Drosophila melanogaster: one gene and its partner. The main gene of each other region encodes a partner of the protein of the gene in region 2 in a complex. Each region holds a gene or a part of one and is shown on either strand. Other genes may lie near its edges.

Region 1 (4,895 bases), about 10 Mb from region 2:
ATCAAGCCAAGAATTGGTACAAGTTCAACGATAACGTGGTTACCCACTCCAAGCCGGAGGAGATGCACAATCTCACTTCGCCCAACACGCCCTACATCCTGTTCTACAAGATGTGCGGCCACTCCAATGAGTCTAATTCGGTTACGGCCAGCTGCAGTTCGAGTATGGTATCGGGCTCAAATGACCAGGTGGTCTCGGTGCCACTGTCGCCGCCTCTGAAGCTGGAGGAGTTGCCACGCCGACTTCGCGACTACGTAAGAAAGGACAACCATGTTTACAACGAAGAGTTGAAGATGCAACGCTTTAAGCGTGGCAACAGCGGTCACGGCAATGCGTTTGTCAGCCGGCACAACTTTGATGGCGATGGTGACGAGGACGACAAGGCGCCGCCGCCGCCCGGAGGATGTGGAGGCAATGGACTGGGCATGAACATCAACCGCTTCGTCTTCTGAGAAAGCGACAGCCAGGATAGCGAGCACACCGGAGGCCACTAGAACATATACTTGTCTACTTTATGAAACACGCGCATACTAATCGAAATGTTACATACATATATATATAGCACGTTCACAACCAATCGAGATATATGCGCCTACGTATATCGAAGTGTATGAGAAACGCGCTTACCGATCGCTTGTTCGCTACCTCCTTGAGTTGTTGTCGATGTTTTCTAAATTGTTTCTTCCTTTTCTCCTTGATCCTTCGGCCCGTTGCCCCAAAAATCATTATACTCATCCACTCATACGAACGCAAACTATTATTGTATTTCCATTTACAAAATTGTTATAATTTTTTTGTTTTTGTTAACACAAACCTAGTTGTAGAACGTGCATATATGCGAACACAAACATATTTAATTATAAAAATTAAAAAAAAAAAAAAACAATAGAATTAGCCAGAAATAGGAGCGATATACTTGAATCCGAAGACCACTAACTTCCAAAACACTAAACCAGAAATAATGTCTGCACCCTAGTTTTTAACGCACAGCTCGAAATTAAATCATATCTCGAGTTGCAATCGAACTAGCAAGAAGCTACAAAACAAGATAATCGCGGCATTGACTTGTATAGATCGAGATCGTTTATAGATCGGGCTATAACCCTCGGATCGTATTATTAGTTTCACTGTTAATTTTAGCAAATTTCAAAAAATTTGCGCATGTGCGACACGAATTTGTAATTGATATATATAAATGTATCTCTTTGGATCTGGTGAGCAGAGGTTGCGATGAATTTTGAACGTTATTGCAATTAAATTGGAATAATTTCAAGGAAATTTGTATATGGTGTATGTCTATTGATAACCAAAATCTATACTATGCTATGCTATAAGTGTATCAATAAAGAAAAGAACAAGCCCAAAGAGTGTTTAATTATTAGAGTCACGAAAGAGTTTAATGTGAAAACAACAAAAATAGTATCCATTCATGGAAGTTACTATATCAAAAAGAAAAGCAATGATCAGAAAGGAGGATATTATATTCAGTTCAAACATTAGAGAGGAGGCGTAAACTAGAATTAAAAACTTGACAGGATTATTGAAGTGGCGAATTGATTTTCTTGCCGCCAAATTTCAAATTATAGCGTACTAATAATCAAAAGTCGGGCCTAAGACTATCGATAATTTAGACCGCGCGGCAGTGTTACCAAATTAATAAGGGAAATTCAAGTGTTGTTGTCAGCAAGGGTGAGAGCCCATTTACAATCTGGTAACACTGCTAGAAAGCGCCAAAATTTTACGTTTATTAGGATTAAGACTAATTTTATTACAATAAAATAGAATTGTACAAATTCCGGCCCCTAGGAAAGGCAACCCAAACTGTGCGGCAAAGTAACGTCCTTGAGAATACCGCATCATGTCGTTCTTCGGATCCAACACGTCGCTGGGAGCAACAAGCACGCCGGCCAAAAGTGAGTTTCCGTAAACAAGACCTCATGCCCTTTTCTCCAAATATTTGTGGGGTCCATTTCCACTTGGTGGAGGCTTCAGCAGCTTCTTGGCGTCCTGCAGGCTGTGGATGCGGATGTCTTTGGGATCTATGCTGGATGTGGGACGGGCTACATGGTGTCAGTGTTCTTATGTGGCCAGACAAAGATGCTCACCCCTTCTTGTGGACCACATAGGCGACGTATCCCACAAAACCTAGCAGGAGGATCAGCAATATAAAAACCAGAGCCATTTTCCACGACCAGCAGGCGACCAGAGCTTGAAGCAAACTAAGGGCAGCTTCTGTAGTATTTTGGAACCCGAAATCTCAGATAAGAATCCAAGGCAGAAGCATAGTTTTCAAAACACTGACCCATTTCTGGTCTTCTTATCTCTTTTGTTCAGCAACCGGTGGCCTCTTCGGATCGCCGTTTGGAGGCACAGCTGCAACCAGCCAGCCAGCACCCGCTTTCGGAGCACAGGCCACATCGACTCCGGCTTTTGGCGCCCAACCGGCGACTTCTGCCTTCGGAGCAGGTTCCGCCTTTGGAGCAACCGCTGCAGCCCCGGCTTTTGGAGCCGCCACAGGAACTTCTGCCTTTGGCGGCTCCGCCTTTGGCAGTACTCCGGCATTTGGTGCGGCGACAACCACAACTGCGGGCACGGGTTTGGGAGGAGGCGGTTTCGGCGGATTTGGAGCAGCTCCGGCAACAAGTCAGGCCGGTCTGTTCGGCGCTCCAGCGACTAGTGCAGCACCACCAGCTTTTAGCGGATTCGGCCAACAGGCAGCTGCGAGTACAGCGCCAGCAAGTGGATTTTCAGGCTTTGGCACAACCACAACGTCGGCACCTGCTTTTGGTGGCTTTGGCACCAGCCAGTCCACTGGCTTTGGGGGCGGAGCCTTCGGATCCAGTAAGTTAAATAAGCCCATTTGTCTTTCTGTGGTATTCCTAACCTGGTTTATGTTTCAGCGTTCGGAAAACCAGCGAATACAACAGTTACGCCGGGATTTGGTGGATTCGGAGGCACCAGTTTTATGCTTGGACAGCCGCAACAGCAGCCAGCGCCCATATCGGCTGACGAGGCGTTTGCCCAATCCATTCTGAATGTATCCATTTTCGGGGATGAACGGGACAAAATAGTGGCCAAATGGAACTACTTGCAGGCTACGTGGGGCACTGGGAAAATGTTTTACTCCCAGAGTGCGGCACCGGTAGACATTACGCCGGAGAACGTGATGTGCCGGTTCAAGGCCATAGGCTACAGTCGTATGCCGGGCAAGGATAACAAGTTGGGACTGGTGGCTCTTAACTTCTGCAGAGAACTCTCAGCTGTCAAGTAAGTCTTAGTGCTTGTCTACATCATGGCATAGGTATTAATTCATTTTATTTTAGGCCACACCAGCAACAAGTGATTCAAACGCTTCACAGTTTATTCGGCAGCAAGCCCAACATGCTTGTTCACATAGATTCCATCAAGGAGTTGGAGAACAAAAAGTGCCAAATTGTTATTTATGTCGAGGAGAAACTTCAACATGCTCCCAACGAAAGCAAGCGTATACTTGCCACCGAACTCTCAAACTACCTTAATCAGGCGACGCTGAAACCACAGCTCAATAATCTAGGTGTTGTGGAGGCTTTGGCTCTGGTATTACCCGACGAAGATCAATTGAGGGAGTACCTTGAAAATCCACCCCGCGGCGTGGATCCGCGCATGTGGCGTCAGGCCAATTCCGACAATCCAGATCCAACTTTATATATACCAGTGCCCATGGTGGGCTTTAACGACTTAAAGTGGCGCGTTAAGTGTCAGGAACAAGAAACGGACACGCATGCATTGTACATAAAGAAGGTGGAGAGTGAGCTGACAGAACTCAAGAAGCGCCATGCCACTGCCACAGCGAAGATACTTGAACATAAACGGAAACTGGCCGAGCTCAGTCATCGCATACTAAGGGTAGGGACACCTAGTTAAATACCCAACTTTATTTTTACATTCAGAAATCCGCATTTTTCAACCACAGATAATAGTGAAACAAGAGTGCACCCGCAAGGTGGGCACTTCCCTGACGCCCGAGGAGGAGGCCTTGCGCACCAAGCTACAGAACATGCTGGCTGTCGTCTCCGCACCCACCCAATTCAAGGGCCGACTCAGCGAGCTCCTCTCCCAGATGCGCATGCAGCGCAATCAATTCGCAGCCAACGGTGGTGCCGAGTATGCCCTCGACAAGGAAGCGGAGGACGAGATGAAGACCTTTCTGACGATGCAGCAGCGCGCCATGGAGGTGCTGAGCGATACCGTCAACAAGGACCTGAGGGCGCTGGATGTTATAATTAAAGGACTGCCCGAGCTGCGACAATCGTGATAGGAATGGAAATGAGCTGATACGTTGAATAAAACCCACATATGTGTAACACAACCCGGTGATTTTCGATGATCGAGACAACGAACAAGTTGTGGCCGTTACACTTTTGCCATTATGTCGTCGTTTAGCATTTCCTGTAGCTTTGAACTTGCACTTTTACGGGCAATGGAGTCGAAACAATCGAAACGAGTTCACACATTCGTCGCCAATGCTGCGGAAATAATTGTGTGGGTCAATGCACTTGCACCGCACAGCTCTTGGACCGCCCGACTTTTCCTCGGCCACTGTCTGAAATTGTCCAATTTCGACGGCTAGGCAGAAGGCAATCGCTCGGACTCATTATGAGTGGCAAACGGTTCGTCTCTGGCAGTTCCAGTTTGTTCAACTCCCAGCATCGGTATCACCATCGTTGTTACATTAACATTATTATGTGCTCTGGCGTGTGCATACATGTGCAGTCTAGTTAGTTGGCTCGTTACATATTTATTTCTTGTGTGGGAAACTAGTTTTCTCCCAGTCAACCAGCCAGCCAGGGTCCGTGCAGGTTTTTTGTTGGCCATTGATGGCGGAGACTTCCGAGCTTCCGTTTGGAGCATGTAGC
Region 2 (7,566 bases):
CATCTTTGAGGAACCAAAAAATGACGGGAATCCAAGCCAGACGTGTCTGCATCTCATGAGATGTTCGAATGAAATAGGTGATAACCTTAGCATGAGCATAATACCATAGCAAGTATTTCATAAAAAAAGAAACCCTTATCATACTAGACTATAAATACTAAATAAAGTTCAGTACACACATTTCGCGTGAAGTAAAAACACAGTTTTTTTTTTTTTAATTTTAATAAAGATTTAAGATTTAAGATTTTTAATTTTAACTGGTATTCTTATTTCATGAAAACTGAACAAGCAAAACTATTGAGTTATGCAACACATTTATTATGAACTCAACGATAATTCATAAAGCTCGATCTGAAATAGTAAAATTTAATATTTCGTTAGTCGTATGCATTCTTGGAAATACTTATATAAGTATGCATATGTATGTATGTCGGTCGAACTTACCCGCCAAACGCTGGTTTCTGTGCATTTGAGTTTCCAGTCTGTGCTAGATTTCCGAAAGAGAGTCCCGATTCCTGTCCCCCCAACGTTTCAAAAATGTTTCCCTGTGCCGGCTTTGCAGCAGCACCAAAGGGTGGAGGGGAGGCTACTGGGCTGGCACCGCCAAATCCACCGAAACCCTTCGGACTGCCAAAGGTGGCACCTCCCCCAAAAGTGGGGCTAGCTCCAAAGGCCGGGGATCCACCGAAAACGGGCTTGGCTCCAAACCCACCTGGTGTCGTAGTTTGCTGCTGCGGGGCTTGTGGTGAGCCAAAACCTGTCTGGGCCACAGATCCACCCCCGCCCTGGCCAAATCCACCACCGAAGCCCCCCTGAGCTGGTGTCGTCTGCGTGAAGGAGCCAAATCCACCAGAGCTGCTGCCACCCCCAAAGATCGATCCGCCAGATGCGGGCGGAGCTGTTGCTGGTGATCCGAAAATAGAGTTTCCTCCGCCACCAAAAGGAGAAGCTTGCGGACTGCCGACGGGATTGGAGAATATATTCCCACCTGCTGCCGGTGCAGCCGCTGATGATTGACCAAACACTTTTTGGCCAAAAATTGAAGTACTTCCTGCAGCCGGAGCGCCGACTGCGCCCTGCGTATTACCTCCTCCAAAAATTGAGCTGGATCCAAAAGGTGTACTGGCGGATCCGCCACCAAAAATAGATCCTCCGCTATCGCCTGCTTGTGCTGGTTGTCCAAAGACACTTGGCTTAACAGCCTGACCAAAAATGTTACCGCCAGAGGCTGGTGCTCTAGTCGTGGGACTACCAAACGGCGAAGGGTTACTAATCGCGGCCGATGCAAAGAGACCCGCTGGTGGTGCATCTGGTGTTGCCGCAGCCGTGGTGTTTGAAGGAGCAGTTGTAGCTCCTCCGAAAACGCTGGTCTCCGCCTTAGGTATACTGCCAAAAATGTTTGCACTCGAAACTGGACTTTTTGCAGCTGACTGAAAGGGACTAGCCACTGGAGCCGCTGTTGATGTTGCTACTGCGAAGCCACCACCAAACACTGAATTCGACGAGTTATTGCCTGTAGATGTAGCGGTTGGGCTTTTGGCAGCTAAGGGAGCTGAAGCGCTGGTAGTTGGAGCTGCAGCACCTCCCGCACTTAGGGTGCTAAATGCGTTTGAGAAGGAGAACGCACTGCCGGGAACAGCAGTGCTAGATGTTACCGTTGTGCTCGATGTTGCCGGAACTGCTGCGGTAACTGCCGCAGGAACTACTGCTGGACTAGACACAGTCGTCGTAGCAGTAGTAGTCGAAATGGCTGATGGGGTGGTTGAAATAGGATCAGTTTTGTTGTTCGCCTCCGTCACACTTGTGGGAGCTGTTGCCACTGGTTTGGTACTGCCGAATAATCCCTTTGAGGCATCAATCGTTCCGCCAAATGAAAAGCTACCAGCGGATAAACCTCCTCCAAAAATGTTGGCTGGTTTGGTGGTATCTGCAAAGTAAAAGACATATATAGCCGTTTAGAGTTTATGCCAAATAAGCGTATACATTTATGCGTAAGGTATATTGATAAAGGAAACTATAGCTTACCTGCAGGAGTGTTGGGCTTGCAGATAGTCACAGAGCTAAAGAGGCCTCCAATAGGATCCGTGCTGCTGGTCACTGCATTTGTTGTGGTGACGGAAGGAGCATCAGTTACGCTGCTCGAAGCAATTACATTCGTAGGCTTGCTGGTGATGGTGGTTGTGTTGCTAGTGACCGTGGTGATCGGTTCAGAGTTGGATGGTTTCGCCAAAGCTGCTGAGAAGATGCCAAATGGTGCAGTTGAAGCTGATGTGGCTACACTAGTGGTTGCTGTGCTGGAAGGTTCAGATTTTGGCACAGCAGCGGCTGTTCCTCCGAAGCCTAGAGATGAACCCAGTCCGCCAAAGCTGAACGGGGAGCTGGAAGTATTTCCGACAGTACCTCCAGTTCCTGTAAATCCTCCAAATCCAAAGGATTTGTTTTCCGTCTCTGCCTTTGGTTTTTGGGGTACTTTTGACTCTTCTGTTTCGGGTTGTACCGCCTTGAATTCTTTGCTTTCTGCTGCTTTCTGCTCTTTGGGCTTAGTCGGCTCGGGTGTTGGTTTTTCGACCGCTGACAACGGGTTTGGTTTTGGTGTAGGAGCTGCCACGGCTGGCGATCCTGTTCCGAATGAGAGTGCCGACTTGGCAGCACCACCACCAAAACTAAAGCTGGAAATAGTACTGCCGCCGAAAATGGATAAACCCGGCTTGGCTGCTTCGCCAGGAGTCACAGTATTTGTCGTTGGCGTCACAGTAGATGTCTTCACAAATGGGATGCTTTGGCTGAAGGAAAATGGCGTAGCCACTGGAGTTGTCGGATGTGTGGGCACTCCAGGCTTTTCCACAACGGACGGTATAGATGGCATTGGTTTAGGCAGCGGAGGAGCCACTGTAACAGTTGCTTGTGGCATGGGTGCAACAGCTGGCGTGGGTGCAACATCTGGTGGTGAAGGCGGAGCGACTGCTGCTTGGGTGTATTTGTTGGCTGTTGCAGGCTTGGCTGCTGCCCTTTTAATTTGCTCCGCCCTACGTTTCGTTTCCAAAATAACCTCCGACTTGAGCCCCACTCGATCTGGTCGCTGGGGACAAATAACATTGATCTTCTGCAGCTGAACAATATTACGGATTTTTTGTAGTCTTTCTCGAGTGAGCTTGGCTGCATTAGAGTCCACTACCTGGCTAAGACTCATCGTGAGAATGGAGTCGGTCAATGTATCCACTCTAAATAAAAAAGTTATAGTCGCATAAAGAGAGAGGTCACAATAACTTCTACTAACGCTTCGTTGGTGCGGGTGCGACTTTTCTCCTGGTCGAGCAGTGCGGCCTGAAGCAATCCGCGCTCCTTCAGTTTGGACTTGATGTTGTTCTGTACAATTCGCTGGTTAGAAGTTAGATTTTGTAGTCTTGTCAGTCGTTGATAGATTCCCTCTAGGCAAGGCATGTGCATGCGAGACTTCGAATTGCGCCGCACAACATCCTGAAACTGTTCCCACTGCAAATCGACATGCTGCTGGGCAAGACGCAGCTGGGCCTCATTGGCAGCCACGTAGCTCTGAAGACGAGCTAGCATGCGACGGCCAGAGGGATCACAGGAGCTTGAGTTCATTAAACGCGTAATCCTAAACGAAAATTACGGGTTTTAAATAGCTTATATATTCAAAGAGTCCTTTACCCACTCTGGTTTTCTATAAATCTCCAGTTTCCCGCGGCACTCTGCTACGATGGCATAGGCCTCATTAAGACCCTGTCGCAATCCCTGTACATCTAACTCGAACTCCACATCCTTGGCTTGTTCATTGAGCTCTTGGAGGTCATCCAGTCTCTTTGCGTATGCCCTCAAAGCAGATGGTGCTGCAATCTGCGGAATAACAACTTTAATACATGAAGCAGTGTAATACCAACACTACTTACGCCTTTGAGGAGTTCCTTCGTCTGTTCCTTTTGCTTTTGGATATCCTTGCTAAAGGCTTCGATTTGTAGGGCAATCATGTCCTTGATAATAGGCTCAGTGTCATCAGGCTTAAGACTTTCATCTGCGATTTGTGGAGGAGCTGAAGTGGCTGGTTTTGTGTCCACTGGTGTGAATGTTAAAGGAACCGTGTACAGTGGTTTGTTTGCTGGAGCAGAAGCAGGAGTTGCGGGTACTGTTGACCCAGGTGCCGCTGTTCGGGGTGTCACACTGGCAATAGCCGGTTTATTCAATGCCATTCCCCCAAAGGCATTTGCTCCTGAAGCCGAAAACATGCTTCCCATGGCAGTAGTCGTTGCCTGCGTGCCAAACCCACCAAACGGTGTTGTTGGCTTGGCTGCATTGGTAGTTGGAGCACCAAACGAAACCGGACTAGAAGTCGGAGCAGTACCAAAAGATAGTTGCGGAGCAGGTGCCTTAGCTGCAGCTGCTCCAAAGCCAGAAAACAATGATGGTTGCTTATCCTTCGAGGGAGCTGGGGTTGAAGTAACGGTATTCGGTGTAAATGCAAAGGATATGTCCGAGGAAGCAGCAGGAGTTGCAGCTGGAGCCTTGGAGGGACTGGCTGCCCAAGCTGGCTGCTCTTCTTCCTCACTAGCAAGCAGCATATTCAACGGCTTGAACTGCCCAGAAGTATCGGCCACTGGAGGAGGTGGCGAACAAACAGACACCGCCGTCGGCAGCACATTAAGAAAGTTGAACGAGAGCAATTCTCCATCCGAACTCAAAACATGAACCATGGGCATAGTCTGCAGCTTCTTCTCATTTATCGTCAGCTGGTGCGTTGTAGAAGTGTCGAAGGCAAAGCCCAGCGGGAAGGTCTCATCCTTGTCCTCACTTAGGGGCATTTCAATGCGTGCCTCATCCAGCAATGTAAGCTGCTGCCAAGCGGGTGTATCGCCGGCCTCGGTTGACCGCATGATGCCCACCTCTACGCCATTGGCCGAGACTACGAGCAGCAGATTCCACTGGGGCACATGGCTAAATACGAACTGATGATTCCTCGGGCCGTTCATGCTATAGCAGATGTCATAGTAGTTTATGTAGCTGGGCGCACCAGCCTTGGGAGCATTTAGAATGTAAAGCGAGGGGCTACAGTCCTCGCCATGCTGGAGAAAGATCACTGCAAACTGGAAAGTCGACAGCCACTGTATAGCAATGGTGTCAAAGGGGGCATCATGTATATTCGGAGGACACAAAAGCGTCTTGGCCAGAGTCAGATCCGGCTTGAACTGCTTCACCGTGCCGCCGGGAAAACCAAGAACGATCTGTTTGCCCTTGGGCGACCAGCAGCCGCACTTAACTTGTTGATTTTTGTCCAGCGAGTGCATTTCAAAGTTTCCCCCCTCCTTCAGGGCATACATCGCGAGCGCTCCGTTGCTCAAAACAACGGCCAGGCTGTTGGGCAGCACGGGATTCCAGAGGAGCTGGACGCCGTGCACGTGATCCTCGGCGGCGAGGCGAATATTATAAACAGGACGTACATCAGGGGTCATGAACGATAGCACCGCATATATGCTGAGCAGGCTGGTGCCGTTCTGGGTGTGATTCACGGCCAGCAGGTTGCCATCGGAGCTGCAGGCAATGTAATTCGGAATACTGGGCAGTGGCACCAGACGCGCCTGCGGCTGTTGGGCTGTGCTCTTCGCATTGACCAAATCCTTTACAATAATCACTGCAAGGAGTGCCAGGATAAATTTATATATTTAGCCTAGCTAACTCAAGCTACATTACCTTTGAGTTCCGGCTGCGTTGGACTCCCGGCAAAGAGCAATCCCCGGCTACTGGAGACCGCCAGCAGGTTCACATTGCTGCGGGGCTCACCGCATTTTTTGAACGCAACAATCTTGTGGTGCAGTTTGAATTGAAAGTCCTGCGACCAAAACCAATGGAATGTTTGACATCTCAGTGCTATGCAATTGTGCTTACCTGCGTGTCCTCGCAGTCTGGTGCATTCTGCGCCATTTTTGTCTGTTTTCGCTCCTATTTCGCCAAATTTTTTGCGGCTTGTCGATTTCCCAATCGAGTCGATGGTGTGGCTGCAAGTTGAGATCGTTGGAAACGTTGGCAAGCAAAAAGCGCGCCACTTGCAGTACGGTCACTTTCAGGAAACTCACCACAAAAACTCACCACCAAAAAATCCAACAACATATACAATACAATCTGATTTAAATTTCATAGATGTTCCTTTAAAAAGAAAATGGGATAAAATCTTATATAAAAATAGTTTTCTCCTATAACTAACTGATGAACTTGTTAACTAAAAGAAACCAACTTAGCTTGAATTAAGTATTCACCAATCTTGTCTTAGCGGTTGACCATATGGCAATTGCACTTTGTTGGTATTTTTTCAGACGGTATTTTGTTTTGGACAGTATGTGCGAGAACGAAAATTTCAGCACATCGCTAGCGCAGCAGCCTTGTTGTTGTTCGTCTGTCTCTGTCCTACAAGCGTTTCTTTTTGTTTGCTGAGAATTAAACAAAAGCGATTTGTTCGCGGGCAATGCGAATGCATTTGCAAAGCAGGGCACAAAGCATCGGCTGTTTCGACTGTGATTGCACAAAGCCATGTAGTAGAGGTCGAGCTGGCGATTCGCAATTATCCACAGGCGACGCAACACGGTGCTAAAAATTGCGTAGCCAATTAATCTCGAAATCCTTCGAATTCAATCGCAGTTACCAAAAAGTAAATGAAATTTAAATCGACTTAAACAGAAATCTGTGGATTTTATTTCGATATTGCCCATAAAGTACCCCAAATCACATAATTTACGGAAAAGTCAAGGAAATTCCAGGTGAAAATTGGGGTTGGAAAGGAGGCCAGGATAACGGAGTGGACTCTAATTAAATACCCTACAGTTTTCCCCTAGAGCAGCCAGGCGACGCTCAAGATGATCAGCAGCCTGTTTTCGCGGCTTATAATGTGAGTAATAACCGATTACTACTATAGCAAATCCCGACTTCATAGCCACCGCAAGTGAGTGTGAGTGCGAGTGAGAGCGCTACAGCTGCTGACCCCCAAAAAAAAACAAAACTAACTTTTCAAGCTCGGCCTTCGAAAGCGAGAAAAGCACCTACGAAGCCCGTCGTCGTTTCCTAATTGTGTGGGCGTCACGCTTCTGATTTCTAAGTTTTATACATTTCCGTGGTTCCTCGATTCGCTGATTGCCGGATTGTTTGTTTATTAATCAGCTGTCGCAAAGTACCGTTCACTTGTGCGCGAGTGTGCGCGGCCTGTGTGTGTAACCCTCGATTGAACTCCTAATTTGGAGTTGCAACTTTCCAAGCTTCTGCGTCTCTGTGTTCCCGAGGCCGACGCACTCGCCTCGCCCGATTTGGGTGCAGAACATGTGGATATAGCCTGTCGGCGACCCGGCGACTCTCTGTGACTCCGCTATTGTTGTCAATATTTATAGATCGCAACTCGACGCTTGCCCATAGTGTGGCACAGTCGCGGCCAAGTAGCTAGCACCTCATTTGTTCAAGCACACAATACCTCCGTTAGCATTTTCCATTATGTCAATACATCTTAACTTCGAACTAGACTTTACTTTTGATAATGAAATTAGTAATCGGTTCAAATCAATAACTAACATC

Evidence for each region.
Region 1: Nup214 (region 2) and Nup54 share a complex: the UniProt entries of both Drosophila melanogaster proteins name them as parts of the nuclear pore complex.

What each region holds. Positions count from the first base shown.
Region 1 is NT_033778.4:12,427,900-12,432,794, reverse strand, and holds Nup54 (nucleoporin 54kD), read left to right. Parts: upstream 1-1,695; 5' UTR 1,696-1,858; coding exon 1,859-1,913; exon of another isoform or gene 1,914-1,935; coding exon of another isoform or gene 1,936-2,044; intron 2,045-2,105; coding exon of another isoform or gene 2,106-2,182; exon of another isoform or gene 2,183-2,200; intron 2,201-2,334; coding exon 2,335-2,841; intron 2,842-2,900; coding exon 2,901-3,267; intron 3,268-3,323; coding exon 3,324-3,885; intron 3,886-3,952; coding exon 3,953-4,294; 3' UTR 4,295-4,346; downstream 4,347-4,895. Other genes in the region: DUBAI (deubiquitinating apoptotic inhibitor), read left to right, coding at 1-452; CG43204 (uncharacterized protein), read right to left, coding at 1,936-2,044, 2,106-2,182. UniProt on the Drosophila melanogaster protein: Component of the nuclear pore complex (NPC), a complex required for the trafficking across the nuclear envelope. Essential for the nuclear import of nuclear localization signal (NLS)-containing proteins in an importin alpha/importin beta-dependent manner.
Region 2 is NT_033778.4:22,918,721-22,926,286, forward strand, and holds Nup214 (nucleoporin 214kD), read right to left. Parts: upstream 6,023-7,566; 5' UTR 5,935-6,022; coding exon 5,899-5,934; intron 5,843-5,898; coding exon 5,704-5,842; intron 5,645-5,703; coding exon 3,912-5,644; intron 3,859-3,911; coding exon 3,677-3,858; intron 3,620-3,676; coding exon 3,278-3,619; intron 3,222-3,277; coding exon 2,026-3,221; intron 1,928-2,025; coding exon 445-1,927; intron 352-444; coding exon 327-351; 3' UTR 217-326; downstream 1-216. Other genes in the region: CG30187 (uncharacterized protein), read right to left, coding at 1-52. UniProt on the Drosophila melanogaster protein: Part of the nuclear pore complex. Serves as a docking site in the receptor-mediated import of substrates across the nuclear pore complex including emb, RanGAP and phosphorylated Mad. Protects mbo/Nup88 from proteasomal degradation at the nuclear pore.